Anolis sagrei: one gene and its partner. The protein of the gene in region 1 interacts with the protein of each later gene in a pairwise test. Links are inferred from orthologs where the notes say so. Each region holds a gene or a part of one and is shown on either strand. Other genes may lie near its edges.

Region 1 (8,089 bases):
TTCTTGCTGTTTCTTTGCCAGTGTTGATGTGGAGAGTGTCTGGTTTGCCTACTCTGGAACATGCAACATATCATTGTCCTTCTTTAGGGGTCCCTTTCAAATCTTTGATACTGCATCTGCCACATACATATATGTGTGTGTGGGCATGGCTGGATGGACTTTTGTCAGGAGGGCTTTGATTATGTTTTCTTGCCCTGGTGAAGGGAGTTGGACTGGATGGCCTTAAGGCAGTTCTCAACCTGGGAAGTCTAGACCACAGGGGGGACGGGACCAGGAGGTTGTCAGAAGGGTCACTAAAGACTACGAGAAAACACAGAATTTTCTGTTGGTCATGGGTGTTCTGTGTGGGATGTTTGGCCCAATTCTATTGTTGGTGAGGTTCAGAATGCTCTTTGATTGTAGGTGAACTATACATCGTAGTAACTACAACTCCCAAATGTCAAGGTCTATTTTTTATTTTCTGTGTTCACATTTGGGCATTCTGTCTCTCCCCAGCAAAATGTCTTAGGCGAGTATTCTTGCCAAGTTTGGTCCAGATCCATTATTGTTTGAGTCCACAGTGCTCTCTGGATGTAGATGAACTACAACTCCCAAACTCAAGGTCAATGCCCACCAAACCCTCTCAGTATTTTGTGTTGGTCACGGGAGTTCCGTGTGCCAAGTTTGGTTAAATTCGATCGTTGGTGGAGTTCAGAATGCTCTTTGATTGTAGGTGAACTATAAATCTCAGCAACTACAATTCCCAAATGACAAAAGCATAATTTTTTGAGTGATGGTCACTCCTTGTGTAGTGAGACGTTTTGTTGCCAATTTTGGTGTGATTTCGTTCATTGGTTCTTTTGTTTTTAAGGTACTCATTATGCACAGAGCATTTTTAGATAGACAAGATAGATAGATAGAGAGATAGAGTGATCCATAGTGCTTTGGGACAAGCACTCCCATTACTCTCTCCCAATTTGGGGGATTCTGGGAGCTGTAATCTCAAAGCTCTGAATTGCCTTTAAACAGCCAAATCCTGAATTAAACAAGGTGAAAATTGGCTTCTACACTGTAATAATAATAATAATAATAATAATAATAAGGAGAAGGAGAAGGAGACGACTTTGTTTACACCCAGCCACCATCTCCCCAAGGGGAGTCAGAGCGGCTTACATGAAACCAAGCCCGACAACACATCAATAAAACAAAAAACAATAAGCAGAAACAATACAATTAATATAACTCATATATAAACAGTAACACACAAGGGTTTTAAAAAAAACCTATGGCCGGGCCAAATGTAATAGTTTAAAATTTTAAAAAAATAAACGCTGGGCATGAACAGAGATAGGATGTATCTGATAGGAGGGTTTTAAAAGAAATGAAGGTAGAGCAACCCAATGAGTAGTTACAAGTGCTTCGGAGGACATTTTGCTGGGGATTATTTCCTTTTTCACTGAAGAATGAATGCAAGTTTAACAACACTTGAAATACCATGGCTCAGTACTATGGAATCCTGGGAGTTTTAGTTTGGTATGGCACCAGCATTTTTAGGCAGAGAAGGCTCAAGACCTTGTAAAGCTACAACTCCCAGGATTCCATAGCATTGAAACATAAAGTAATGTCAAACTGCATTCATTCTACATCTTGAGTCAAATAAAAAAGGTAAGGTCTTAAAATCCCTAAATGCATAAATATAATAAATCTGATTTGTAACACTTTTAAGTTTTGAGCTGAGCAGTATTTCTTCATAAATGTGTGATACAGCCTCCAGGCAAGTATGAGTGGAGCTGGTATTTCAGGTAGAGTAAGCAGCCCTTCCCTCTGAGTCATTATTTAATAAGCTTTTCACATGGCTTGAATACTTTGGGAATGATATGATGAGAGGGAAGACAAGCACAGCTTTTCTCTGAGCCGATTTCACAGGGCTGTGGCTGCCCATCCTGCAAATCTGCAACCAAGGATCTTTTCAAAGCAGGCCTAAGACATTTTGTTGGAGAGAGACAGAGGCCTGGAAGCGAATGAGCTGGATGTTGAATCTTGCAATGGAATTAATATCCTCCACTGCAGACAAGACAATGATCAATGCAATTTCTCACTAACTGCGATCGGTCAAGATAATCACAAGAAGCTCTTGAGCCTTCTCTGCCAAAGAGTGCTGGGCCTGCCCGAACTACAATTCCCAGGATTCCATAGCACTGAGACATAGCAGTAAAAGTAGTGTCAAACTGCATTAATTCTACAGTGTAGAAACACACCAAGAAAGTACAGGTCGGAATAGGGTGTGTGCGTATGTATGGTTTTATGAATATACGTGTTCGTCAGGCCAAAATGATGGTGGGCCCAAGCGGAAAAGATGTGACAGACTGTCACTGCTATTCTCTGGCATCAATCATGCTGAAAGTAGGAGCATACAGTATGTCCTTCACAATTTCACATATGAAAACTGGTCGAACAACAGCAAAGTGTAGTCAAAATGAGAAACATGATTGAAAAGGAAGAATATATAAGCTAGGAGGGTTTGCAGCAGTTTCCTTTTGCCCAAGCCTACTGGGAAGGACAAGAGTTTTTTTTCAGACAGCTCTTTAATTAATTAATTTCATTTCTACCCCGCCTTTCTTGATCCTAAAGGGAAATCAAGGCAGCTTTCAAATCTGGCAAAAATTCAATGCTGCACAGGTAAACAATAAAACACATCTCATCAAAATATAAACAAATTAAACATATAAGCAATTAAAACACATATCAATCAATCAAACAAACAGATTAAAAACCTTATAAGAAGAAAGTTTTCAAGACTGAACCAGGAAGTGTTATGTTTTATGTAGTCTAATTGTTTTGTTGGTTTGAAGTATGTATCTTTTAATAAGTCATATATTTAATTCTATTTTAATATTTGTATGTTCCGAGTTTTATTTATTTATTTCATGCACTTTTACCCCTCCCTTCTCCCCCAAAGGGGAACTCAGGGCGGCCTCACAGAAGCACCATACGATGCTGTCAATTCGAAGTAGAATTAAAGCATTAAAAACCATTAAAACACATTATACAATTCATTAGACAGTAGATTATACATGCCGGTAAAATCAAATCCAAGTCTAAGCAGATTCAATGTCGTAAATATCCTAAGTCTTTTTTCCAATTGCCGCTATTTGATTAATGAAATGCCTAGTCCCAGGGCTAAGTCTTCACTTGTCTTCTAAAGGACAATTTACATATTTGTATGATTTGTTTAGTGTTAGCCGCTTTGATACTCCTTTGGGAGAGAGAAAGCAGGATATAAATAATAACAATCATCTTGCTGGGTTTTAATATATTTATTTATTATTTATTATTTATTTGATGCACTTATTAACCGCCATTCTCAGCCCTTACGGGCGACTCATGGCGGTGTACAGTACACATAAAAAGACAGTTACAAAGGCCAGTATCAACAACATATAACTATACGACAAATACAAACTACATAAAAATCCGCTTCGTCTCTTAGTAGAATCATAGCCAGTCTCATCTTCCTTGTACCATTCCAGTTCTCATTACCGTAATGTTGTTGCTTAGCACTTAATTAAATGCCCTCTCGAACAGCCAGGTCTTAAGGCTTTTTCGAAAGGACATGAGGGAGGGCGCCTGTCTGATGTGTGCCGGGAGAGTGTTCCACAGCCGGGGGGCCACCACCGAGAAGGCCCTCTCCCTCGTCCCCGCCAGCCGTGCCTGTGATGCAGGCGGGATCGAGAGAAGGGCCTCCCCAGACGATCTCAAGGTCCTCGTGGGCTCGTAGGCCAAGATGCGGTCAGAAAGGTATTTTGGGCCGGAGCCGTTTAGGGCTTTGTAGGCCAAGACCAGCACCTTGAATTGGGTCCGGTAGCAAATCGGCAGCCAGTGGAGCTGGGACAACAAGGGCGTTGTGTGCTCCCTGCTACCCGCTCCAGTTAGTAACATAATTATAGATATTGTATAATTTGTTTAGTGCTAGCCGCTTTGATTCCCCTTTGGGAAAGAGAAAGCAGGATATAAATAATAATCATCTTGCCGAGTCAATTGAGTGTCACCCATTCTTGTACTTTTAACTCAGTTTGCAGCAACTGGAAAAAGATTACAAATAAGGAAAATTGGGAGAAGAATGAGACTGAGACATTTAAAAAAATAATTTATTTATTTATCATATTTATACCCCGCATTTCTTACCCCGAAGAGGACTCAGGGCAGCCTTACAGACTGGAAACAATTTGATGCCATATAAAAAAAGTCTTCAGGCTAAACATGCCCAGCTCCTTAAGCCGCTCCTCATAGGGCTTGTTCTCCAGCCCCTTGATCATTTTAGTCGCCCTCCTCTGGACACATTCCAGCTTGTCAATATCTCTCTTCAATTGTGGTGCCCAGAATTGGACACAATATTCCAGGTGTGGTCTAACCAAGGCGGAATAGAGCATGGGGAGAATGACTTCCCTAGATCTAGACACTATGCTCGACAAAACTTCCTTGGAAACGTTATGTTGACACTCTCAATTACCAATAAATACCTCAGATTTTACTTCTCTGTACAGTGTTTGGCTGTTTTATTTTCCCCCTGACTGAATGGAATGCAGGAACGCACTTCATTCGTGAGGGAACTCTGGACGAGGAGGCTTCGAAATGGCGCGAAGGCAGACTGCGCCTGCGCACTCCCTTCCGCCTGGGAAAGAGCCTGTCAGAGGCCGCGCCTGCGCAGTGCGGCTCCCCACTAGGCCCGGGCGGAGCCTAGATTGGCTCTTGGGGGCGGGGCCTGTCAGGGCTACGCCTGCGCAATGCCGCTACCCAATCAGTACGGCTCTCCACTAAGCCCGGGCGGAGCCTAGATTAGCTCTCTCCGCCTTGGGGGCGGGGCCTGCCAGAGTTGCGCCTGCGCAGTGCCGCTCCCCAATTAGGCTCTCCCCGTCATGGGAGCGGGGCCTGTCAAGGCTGCGCCTGCGCAATGCCGCTTCCAAGTTAGGCCCGGGCGGAGCCTCGATTAGCTCTCCCCGTCGTGGGGGCGGGGCCTGCCAGGGCTGCGCCTGCGCAGTGCCGCTCCCCAATTAGGCTCTCCCCCTCTTGGGAGCGGGGCCTGTCAGGGCCGCGCCTGCGCAATGCCGCGTCCAAGCTAGGCCCGGGCGGAGCCTCGATTAGCTCTCCCCGTCTTGTCAGCTGGCGGCGCTGTCCCCGCCCTCCCCTCCTTCCTCCGGGCTGACGTGGCCGGGGACATGGCGGACGGGAGCAGGCAGAGCAAGCTGGCGGCGGCCAAGAAGAAGGTAACGCGGCAAGGGAAGGCAGGGGAGGCCGAGAGGAGTTTGCCTCAGGCTCGAAACAGCAACTACGACGACGCCAGGCGGCCTAGGCCTCTAGGCCCAGGCACGCCCCTAGTTGCCCCCTTCTCAGCCAGGCAGAGGCCTAGCCCCCTCCGAGGCGCCTCTCCGGCCTAGGCACGCCCCTCGGAGGCCGGAAGACCCCAGCCCGCCCCGTAGTGGGATTGCTCCGAAGAGAGAGGCCGCGCCTCCCTTCTCAAGGCCCACATTGTGAGAGCCGTTCAGCAGTGGAACTCTCTGCCCAGGAGTGTGGTGGAGGCTCCTTCTTTGGAGGCTTTTAAACAGAGGCTGGATGGCCATCTGTCAGGGGTGATTTGAATGCAATATTCCTGCTTCTTGGCAGAATGGGGTTGGACTGGATGGCTCAGGCTGGAGCAACCCACTCAGGGTGTTTTTGGGTTGCTGTGAGTTTTCCCGGCTGTCTGGCCATGTCCCAGAAGCATTCTCTCCTGACGTTTTGCCCAAATCTATGACGGGCATCCCCAGACATTGTGAGGTCTCTTGGAAACTTGGCAAGTGGGATTTATAGATCTGTATCTATATCCACAAAGACAAATGCAAGAATCATAGAGTTGGAAGAGACCTCATGGGCCATCCAGTCCAACCCCATTCTGCCAAGAAGCAGGAATATTGCATTCAAAGCACCCCTGACAGACGGCTATCCAGCCTCTGTTTAAAAGCCTCCAAAGAAGGAGCCTCCACCACACTCTAGGGCAGAGAGTTCCACTGCTGAACAGCTCTCACAGTCAGGAAGTTCTTCCTCATGTTCAGATGGAATCTCCTTTCTTGTAGTTTGAAGCCATTGTTCCGTGTCTTAGTCTCCAGGGAAGCAGAAAAGCAAGCTTGCTCCCTCCTCCCTGTGTCTTCCTCTCACATATTGATACACGGCTATCATGTCTCCTCTCAGCCATCTCTTCTTCAGGCGAAACATGCTCAGCTCTTTAAACCGCTCTTCATAGGGCTTGTTCTCCAGACCTAAAGCAAATTAAAACAATTAAAGCAATATTAAACAACAAAACAATAAACAATACACCAAAACACAATAAAACTGGACCAGGCCAGAGTAATGGGTACAGAATTAAAAGTGCTGATGTGACAGGTGGTATATAAGGATTATAGGGTAAGTGGAGTGTGCAGTGCGCGGCAATCATAGTTCTAATAAAGTGCTTCTGGGACTTGGTATTGGAGATTTCCTATTCTGGGAAGGCACATCGGAACAGCCAGGTCTTCAAGTTGTTTCTAAAGACTGCCAATGTAGGGGCCTGTCTAAGATCTTTGGGGGGGGGGTGTGTGTTCCAGAGTCGGGGGGCCACCACAGAAAAGGCCCTGTCTTGTGTCCCCACCAAATGCGCTTGTGATGCAGGCGGGATCACAAGCAGGGCCTCTCCAGATGAACGAAATGAACGTGTGGGTTCGTAAACGGAGATGCAGTTATTCTATTCTGACATGCACTTATATGCATCTGTCTGTATTTAAATGCTGAAACAAAGTGACAGAGCTCAGAGAAACGTGAAATAGTTTCTTAGTTTGAGAGGTGTTTCTTGGGAGGAAGCAGATCCTTGGGCATCTCTACATACTCCACTTAGTCAGAAAAAATGAAATGCAATGATACAGACCGGTGGACAATGCCAGGCTCGATATCAGTATGAAAAAGATTTTGGAGTTTTCGTGGGCAACAAGTTAACATGAGCCAACTATGTCGTTCGACAGCTAAAAAAAGAATGGGATTTTGGCCTGCATCAGTAATTATAATAATAAATTTTATTTGTATCCTGCCACCATCTCCCCAAAGGGGACTCAGAGCGGCTAACAAGAGGCCAAGCCCAAAATTATAGTACAGCAAGATAAAATAGAAAGAAGCAAAATTAAAATCAAAATAAAAAATCATGAAATAACAAAATAAAATAAACAATCACAAAATAACATGATAGAGAAATAGAATGCAGTGGGCGGGTCAAATGCACTAGGATAAAATTGATAAAACCCTGGATGAGATAAGTGATGGGAGAATGTCTTTCTGAGGGAAGAGCTCAAAAAGAATGAACTATGGGGTTAGACCAGGGGTCCTCAAACTTTTTAAACAGAGGGCCAGGTCACAGTCCCTCAAACTTTTGGAGAACCAGATTATAATTTGAAAAAAATGAATGAATTCCTATGTGCACTGAACATATCTTATTTGTAGTGCAAAAAAAACCCTTTAAAACAATGCAAAAATTAAAATGAAAACAATTTTTACAAATATAAACTTATTAGTATTTCAATGAGAAGTGTGGACCTGCTTTTGGCTTATGAGATAGGATTGTTGTTGTTGTTGTTGTTGTTGTATGTTTTCAAGGAATTTCAGACTTGAGGGCCAGGTACATGACCTTGGAGGGCCGTATTCGGCCCCCGGGCCTTAGTTTGAGGACCCCTGGGTTAGACCTTCATTAAGGGCAGGGGAAAGTGCATCATGAAGATGGAACTGTAGTTGGAACAGACAAAATATGGAATATATGTTCACTTGCCAAAGGCATATCAGAAGAGCCAAGTTTTTAGGTCTTTCTTAAAAGCTGCCAGGGTAGGGGCTTGCCTAATCTTACTAGGTAGCGAGTTTCAAAACTGAGGGGCCACAGCAGAGAAGGGTCTCTCTCTCGTCTCCACCAGTTGTACTTGACATAAAAGTGGCAGTGAAAGGAGAGCCTCCCCAGAGGAGGTTTATGGAAGGAGCTGTGGTCATGAAGGTAGACGAGTCCCAAACCGTTCAGGGCTTTGTAGGTGATAACCTGCACCTTGAATTAGGACTGGAAGATGAA
Region 2 (7,951 bases), on another chromosome or scaffold:
CCTACATGCCAGATACATAAGTATCCATCACAATTCCAAGCATCAAGACCACAGTTTCAGCACAGTTAAAATGGAGAGGAAAGAAACTTTATTCACGTTTATACAGAAAAGAGTAGCCAGACTTCAGAAGACCCTACTTAACAAACCAAGGTTACTACATTCCTGCTTTCTCAATACTTCATACAAATCAATATTTACTACTTTTCTCTAACATTCCAGCATAAATCTAAATGTACTCAGCAGATACAATATCAGGGAAAGTCAATCAAAAGGCAGGATAGGTTGTGTGGGTTATGGCTGAAAAGGCCCTATTTGAGAAATCAATTATAAAATAAGACAAAGCTAGACTTACCTACAGGTAAGCCTAATATGTGTTCTGATGAGGGTAGACCAAACCGAAATCTCCTGGTATCGTGGCTGATCTCCTGTTGAAATGAAAAATTGAGACAATTTTGGATTGCCACAATCCAAAGAAAGTTTACACCCTCCTCCCCAGAGTTTCATGGCATCCAAATACCACAATCAAAATAAGGTTTACACTTTCCTTGCAAATTTCAGGGAGGAGCTGGATCCACACGAAAGGTCTCTAGCTCAGTCCATGGCAGTGCTAGTTAAAATTATCCCAATCTAGACAGCTGCTGTCTTTACAAGTAGATAGGGCTTGAAAGACAAGTCTTACATTAAAAACAGATTAATATTGTGAAATCACATTACAGACAACTCACCTCTCTCTCTATCAACGGCAAGGGATACTTGATATTTGGATCTTGTAAGGTCACCAGAGCTCTTTTTGCCTTAGGTCCCATTGCTTTAAAAAGCAACAGCAGGGTAGATGCCGCCACTACCACCCCAGCAATCCAAAAAGAGAGGTCCTAAGGGGGAAAACAAAGATATACAAAAAAAAAATGAAAACACCTCTTGATATACTACAATTCCCACTATAAAGTTGTGCTAGGGTGTTTTTTATATATTGTTGGAGGACTTGCTAAAAAAGAAAAAAGCATGTGCTATACCAGTGTTTCTCAAATTGTGCTCCTCCAGGTGTTTTAGATTTCAGCTCCCAGGAATCCCAGCCACCTTACCAGATGTTAGGAATTGTGGGAGCTGAAGTCCAAAACATCTGGAGGAGCACAGTTTGAGAAACTCTGTGCTATACAATCATCATTTCTACAGAGAAGAAAAACCTGGAGAAAGGGAAGCCATACTGTTTGCCTCATGGCTAAGGAGGATTTGACCCTTGAATTTTTCTAAGATGACTGTAGAAAGTGAAGAAGATTAGGAAAAATGTAATGATATGAGGAAACACATATTAGAAACATAGAGTGATAAAGTTGGAAGATTCCTTCAAGTTTAATCTAGACTACCCCCTAGCAATGTAGAAATCCATGCCTAAAACATCTGACTGGGTGGGACTCAAAGAGGTACAGTTAAAACCCTAATTTCCTGTCTAGTTGAAGGGGATGGCAAACAATCTCACTATGTTCATATAGGTAGCAATGATGTCATCTTCCAGGACCCACAGGCAGGGGTTCTCAACCTGTGGATCCCTGGGTGTTTTGGCCTGCAACTCCCAGAAATCCCAGCCAGTTTACCAGCTGTTAGGATTTCTGGGAGTTGAAGACCAAAACATCTGGGGACCCACAGGTTGAGAACCACTGTGCTAAAACATAAGACACTATAATTCAAGTTGGTGGCATTTTTTTTCTTACAGCCCAAGTTAGAGTCTTCATCAAACAACTTGCAAGAACATGACAGTGACATACCTTTTTATTCCAACCCTGTTTGCACAGAAGGGTGAGAAAACTGTTCCCCTGTGTGCTAAAGAAAGGGTCTTCTCAGCTGTGGTGCCCTCTGGAAGTCCCATGGGCACAAAGGTTGTCTTCTTTCCAAGACCAAGTCAAAACATGACTTTTTATTGAGATTTTTGGAGCTTTCTTCACTTCAAGTGTGCATGGGCATGCTTTTTGATTGTGTACCCTCTTTAAGCCATTTAATATCATGTTCCATACACTTTTCTCCCAGTTATGCTATTTCATGATGTAGAATTAATGCCTCTTGACACCTTTCCACTTCCACAGCTCAATGGTACTGTTCCATTATCAGTTCGGAGGCCATTAGGGTGAACTAGAGAGAGAAGGATAGTCCCATTTTATGGGGGGGGGGGGCTGAAGGAGGAAAACCATTTCCCCTGTTTTTGATAGATATTCTCCCTCATCTCATAAATGGGGGTTGTTTCCACAACGGGGACATGGATGGAGGAAATAACAGGAGAACAGGGGGAAATTGTTTTCCTCCTTCAACCCAACACACCCCTAGAAAATGGACTCTCCTACTCACACATGCAAGTGTGAGTAGATCAATAGGTACCGCTCAGGCAGGAAGGTAAGTGCGCTCCATGCAGACATTTATTATTTATTTACTTCATTTGTATACCGCTCTTCTCAGCCCTTAGGCGACTCAGAGCGGTTAGAGGCTCTGAGTCTCTCTGAGTCTCAGAGGCGACTCAGACATGCCGGCCACATGACCTTGGAGGTGTCTATGAACAACGCTGGCTCTTCAGCTTAGAAATGGAAATGAGCACCAACCCCCAGAGTCGGATACGACTGGACTTAATGTCAGGGGAAACCTTTTACCTTTAACATATATACACACACACACACTTTTGGAAGGAACTCCCTGGATACTTCAAACTCCCCCCCCCCCCCCCGACCCCTACATTCATGGCCACAGGGAGCACTGACTTGCTTAGACTTTAAGCAATGGGAATGGTAAGTGAGAAACCGCTTCTCTCCCAGAACAAGCCAACGGGGAGCCCAAAAGCGACCCACCCCCCCGCCTTTCCCAGCAAGAAACCCGACGGCGCCCCCAAAGCGGGGCAGGGCAGGGCTGGCTCACCCAAGCAGCCTCCATGGCGGACGCGCGGCTCTCCCCAAGGCAGGGCGAGGGCGGGGCTGGCTGGGGAGGGGGCGCCCAGGTCCCTCACCTGCAGGCCCCTCCCTCTCTCCCTCCCTCCCTCTCTCTTTTCTCCTTCCCCACCCCAGCCGAGCAAAGGGCGCCTGGCTGAACTGGCACCTCCCCTCCCTTGCGACAGGGCTGCCTCTGCCAAGCTCTCCTTTCCCTCTTGGCCCAGGCTGCCACTCTGTTTCCATACCAGGAAGCCCCTCAAAAGGGAGTTTTGGGCAAACGTCAGCTCTCCAGGTGTTCTGGACTTCAACTTACAAGCCTTGCATTATTTTAAATCAGTGGTTCTCAACCTTCCTAATACGCTGACCCCTTAATACAGCTCCTCGTGTTGTGGTTTTTTCCCCTCTCTCTCTCATGTCAGGAGCGACTTGAGCAACTGTAAGTCGCTTCTGGTGTGAGAGTATTGGCCGTCTGCAAGGACGTTGCCCAAGGGACGCCTGGATGTGTTACCATCCTGAGGGAGGTTTCTTTCACGTCCCCGCATGAGAAGCTGGAGCTAACAGGGGGAGCTCACCACACTGCCAACTTTTTGGTCAGCAATCCAATGGGGCTTTGATTGGGTGTTTCTGCATGGCAGGGGGTAGAAATGGATGGCTCTTGTGATCTCTTCCAACTCCAATACACTCCTCAAATAATATGGAACCTTTGCCTGGTTTCTTATGCTTGTCCAAAATAGCACAAAGATATCCTGATTCCTGAATTTTTTAAAAAAAAATGTTCTGGTGACCCCCCAATCAAACAATAGAATGGGTACAAACCTCCCACACAAACCCCCAAAGACCAACAGAAAATACTGTGTTTTCTGATGGACTTTAGCGACCCTCCTGACACCCTCCTCACGACCCTCCCAGGGATCCCGACTCCCAGGTTGAGAAACACTGTCTTAGAATAACTTTTGTAGAGTCAAAATATTTGACTCTACAAAACTACAACAGAAACTCGGAAGTTCACCATGGCTTCTTGTGCTTGAAAGGCTCTGTGCATTGATATTTCTCTGTAGGGCAGTGCTTCTCAACGTTCCTAATGCCATGGCCCTTTAATACAGTTCCTCATGTTGTGGTGACCCCCAACCATAAAAGTATTTTCACTGCTACATCATAACTGTAATTTTGCTACTGTTATGAATCATATTGTAAATACCTGATATGCCCAAATTTGAATACTGGTGGGGTTGGGGGAAATTGATCCTGTCATTTGGGAGTTGTAGTTGCTGGGATTTATAGTTCACCTACAATCAAAGAGCATTCTGAACTCCACCAATGATGGAACTGAACCAAATTTGGCACAGAGAACTCCCATGACCAACAGAAAATACTGGAAGGTTTTGGTGGGCATTGACCTTGAGTTTTGGAGCTGTAGTTCACCTACATCCAGAGAGAACTGTGGACTCAAACAATGATGGATCTGGATCAAGCTTGGCACGAATACTGAACATGCTCAAATGTGAACACTGGTGGAATTTGGGGGAAATAGACCTTGACATTTGAGAGTTGCTGGGATTTATAGTTCACCTACAATCAAAGAGCATTCTGAACAACAATAGAATTGGGCCAAACTTCCCACACAGAACCCCCATGACCAACAGAAAATACTGTGGTTTCTAATAGTGTTTGGTGACCCCTCTCACACCCCCTCACAACCCCCTCAGGGGTCCCGACCCCAGGTTGAGAAATGCTGCTGTAGGAACATTCATCCTTTGTGGGTCAAATACGACAACAAGCCTGAGAAGGTCTGAGAAAAACCTCACTCTAGAAGCAGAGATGGGAGTGGGTTGGGGTAAGAAGGCTTTGTTATCAGCAAATCATGGGTCAGAGATTTTCCTTTTTGCCATTGTTTTAATTCCTCTCCCTTTTTGGCTTTTCCAGTAAAACCAGCCGACCAACCAGTTCTTCCAGTTGCCCCACCCTCTCAGATCTGAGCAACAAGAGGTATATATATATTTTGTAGAAATGGTCAGATGAAAGCTTTTCACCCATAAGCTTCTTGCTTGGGGTTCCACAATTCTTAACCCCAGGCCCAGATGCTTTAGCCACTGGCTCATACTTGACAGGGTTATTTCTAACAAAAGCACAGGTATTATATACAGTGCTGGGCATTTATTTAGCGTATCAGGGGTGACCCAAACAGTTGTATTATATTTTAAAAAAACAAAGTTTGAAAACTTGGCTTTATACTAAATGTCCTTTGACCAGTAGATGGCCACTTGGAGTGCCTCTGGTGTTGTCATAAGAAGGTCCTCCACTGTGCATGTGGCAGGGCTCAGGCTGCATTGCAATAGGTGATCTGTGGTTTGCTCTTCTCCACACTCGCATCTCGTGGACTGGGTAGGACATGGGTGTTAACAGCTATGCCTATATTCCCACACCCATGCTGATACCTCATTCCACATATTCTCCCCCTCACTTAATAATAATTGGATGTGTTGCAATAGCAGATTCCCAGATTAGTTTAGTGTTTACACCTTATTTTATTTTTCCGGTTATTTAATATTTAATATAGCATGTTTATTTTACTTAAGTGATATTTGTCTTGACTGTTGTAATGTAGCACAAATCTTACATAAATCATACTAAGTATTTTTGACATTAATATTGAAATCTGAAATATATACAGAAAGTCTTTTTATAATTTCAAATATACTCAAACTCATTCTCAATAAGATAGTGAAGAGTAGAGGCATCACACTGGCAACGAAGATCCACATAGTTAAAGCAATCGTATTCCCTGTAGTAACCTATGGATGTGAGAGCTGGACCATCGGGAAGGCTGAGTGAAGGAAGATAGACGCTTTTGAGCTGTGGTGTTGGAGGAAAATTCTGAGAGTGCCTTTGACCACCAGAAGATCCAACCAGTCCATACTTCAGGAAATGAAGCCCGACTGCTCATTGGAGGGAAGGATATTAGAGGCAAAGATGAAGTACTTTGGCCACATCATGAGAAGACAGGAAAGCTTAGAGAAGACAATAATGCTGGGGGAAATGGAAAAAGGAAGAGGGGCAGACCAAGGGCAAGATGTATGGATGGCATCCTTGAAGTGAGTGGCTTGACTCTGAAGGAGTTGGGGGTGGTGACGGCCAACAGGGAGCTCTGGCATGGACTGGTCCAGGAGGTCACCAAGAGTCGGAAGTGATTTGGTGATATTTTTCTACCTAATAGCAGCCGCAAGGATGACCTTAGCAAAAATGTGGAAAACCAAAGAAATCCCAGCAATGGACCAATGAACAGCAAAAATAATGGACATAATAAATATGGACATATTGACACATAGAATTTCACAGAACTATACAAAACCCCCCAAAAAACTGACTGGAAAGCAGTGCTAGAATCCATAAAAGGTGAAAATAAAGAGATTTTTATAATGGACTTGTAATTTAAATTCAAGGACTACATAAACAAGAAGATGACAACTGACTCAAGCAAGGAAATAAATATGTATGCTGGGGTGTGTGTGTGTATATATACGGACAAACAAATAGAAGAATATATTATGTATACACACCTACAAGTGTACACAAATGTAGAACCATATGAGTCACCCTGGGTGAACCTGGAAGTACCCAACCTACCCCATCCCCATCCCAGCATCCCCTCCCCCCTCCCTTCCTTCTTTTTTCTTTTTTTCCCTCTTTCCCACCTTTCCCTCCACCCCTATACTACCCTACTGTTCCTACTGTTCCTATTTTGCATATTTACATTTTTAAAAAACCAATACAATTTAAAAAAAAGAGTCAGAAGTGACTAAACGAATAAACAACAACAAACTCATTCATTAATTGATAGCATAAAGTTACCTTTATTATAAGGACAATAGTTTCTGAGGATTTTAAAAATTCTATGAACTATCCTTATTCATTTAATCCTTCTGCTACTACTTAGATCAGTGTTTCTCAAACTGTGCTCCTCCAGATGTTTTGGACTTCAGCTCCCAGAAATCCCAGCCAGCTTGCCAATGGTTAGGAATTGTGGGAGCTGAAGTCCAAAACATCTGGAGGAGCACAGTTTGAGAAACTCTGACCGAGGTAATCCATGTATGCAGAAATATAAGTAGGCATAACAATTAAACCTGGGACACTGTATTTCCCCATTGGGGATATACAAATCCCCTTTATAAGATGCTTACGCATGGAGCAAGAGAAGATGAAAAACTGTATGCTTCTCATGAGTGACTTGTGATTTTTGGGGTGAGATTTCCCTCACCTGCTTAGAACAGGAATGTCACTGATTCCTTTGTATTTCTGAAGTGGATCTTGCTCTTGTATGATAAAATGTGTATTAATACATGTGAAAATAATATATGCACATTTACATGATTACTATGATAAAATACGTCCTATGAACATTTTAAAAAATCACTTGTTAGCCAATTTGAAACATGTTTACTCAGAAGTAACTCTAAAGTGTCCTCAAATTTGCAATGTTATGCCTTTCCAAGCATTAGGGACAGGCCTTACAAAACTTTGTGGGGTTTACATCTCTGAAGAAAAATGTCACAGATGTCATTGCTTTACCACATTGAAAGACATTGATTTTCAAATCCATACAGATATTGTTTCCCCACGTGAAAGCTGGGCCTTTAAAAATGTTCTTGAATTATGTGTGTCAAATACAGTCCATGAGTTCTGTCTGCAGCATTGCTAGAACTCATATAGATGAATCAGGAAATATACTTCCATACGATGCTTGTTTCAAAAGCATAAATTCACATGAAAATGTTCATGCTTTGTTTGATGAGTCTGGAAAAACAGAAACACAATAAACAGCAGATATAAATAGTAAATAAGCATTTTAGTTAACAATAAAGATCAGTTGTTAATCACTGGGTTGCTGTAAGTTTTCCAGGCTGTATGGCCATGTTCCAAAAGCATTTTCTCCTCGTGTTTTACCCACATCTATGGCAGGCATCCCCAGAGGTTGTGAGGTGTGTTAGAAACTAGGCAAGTGAGGTTCATATATTTGTGAATGTCCAGAGTGGGAGAAAGAACTTTTG

Evidence for each region. The genes of interacting proteins can lie anywhere in the genome.
Region 2: the proteins of GOLGA2 (region 1) and CYB5R2 interact in binary tests that used the Homo sapiens proteins (3 or more experiments, as listed by UniProt). The two-hybrid records come from large-scale screens. The link is inferred for Anolis sagrei from reciprocal best matches to the Homo sapiens genes GOLGA2 and CYB5R2.

The regions. Positions count from the first base shown.
Region 1 is NC_090031.1:16,805,303-16,813,391, reverse strand, and holds the start of GOLGA2 (golgin subfamily A member 2), read left to right. Parts: upstream 1-5,060; 5' UTR 5,061-5,195; coding exon 5,196-5,243; intron 5,244-8,089. UniProt on the Homo sapiens protein: Peripheral membrane component of the cis-Golgi stack that acts as a membrane skeleton that maintains the structure of the Golgi apparatus, and as a vesicle thether that facilitates vesicle fusion to the Golgi membrane.
Region 2 is NC_090021.1:255,183,432-255,191,382, reverse strand, and holds the start of CYB5R2 (NADH-cytochrome b5 reductase 2), read right to left. Parts: upstream 3,008-7,951; 5' UTR 2,911-3,007; coding exon 2,896-2,910; intron 873-2,895; coding exon 726-872; intron 426-725; coding exon 353-425; intron 1-352. Other genes in the region: OVCH2 (ovochymase-2), read right to left, coding at 7,678-7,697. UniProt on the Homo sapiens protein: NADH-cytochrome b5 reductases are involved in desaturation and elongation of fatty acids, cholesterol biosynthesis, drug metabolism, and, in erythrocyte, methemoglobin reduction.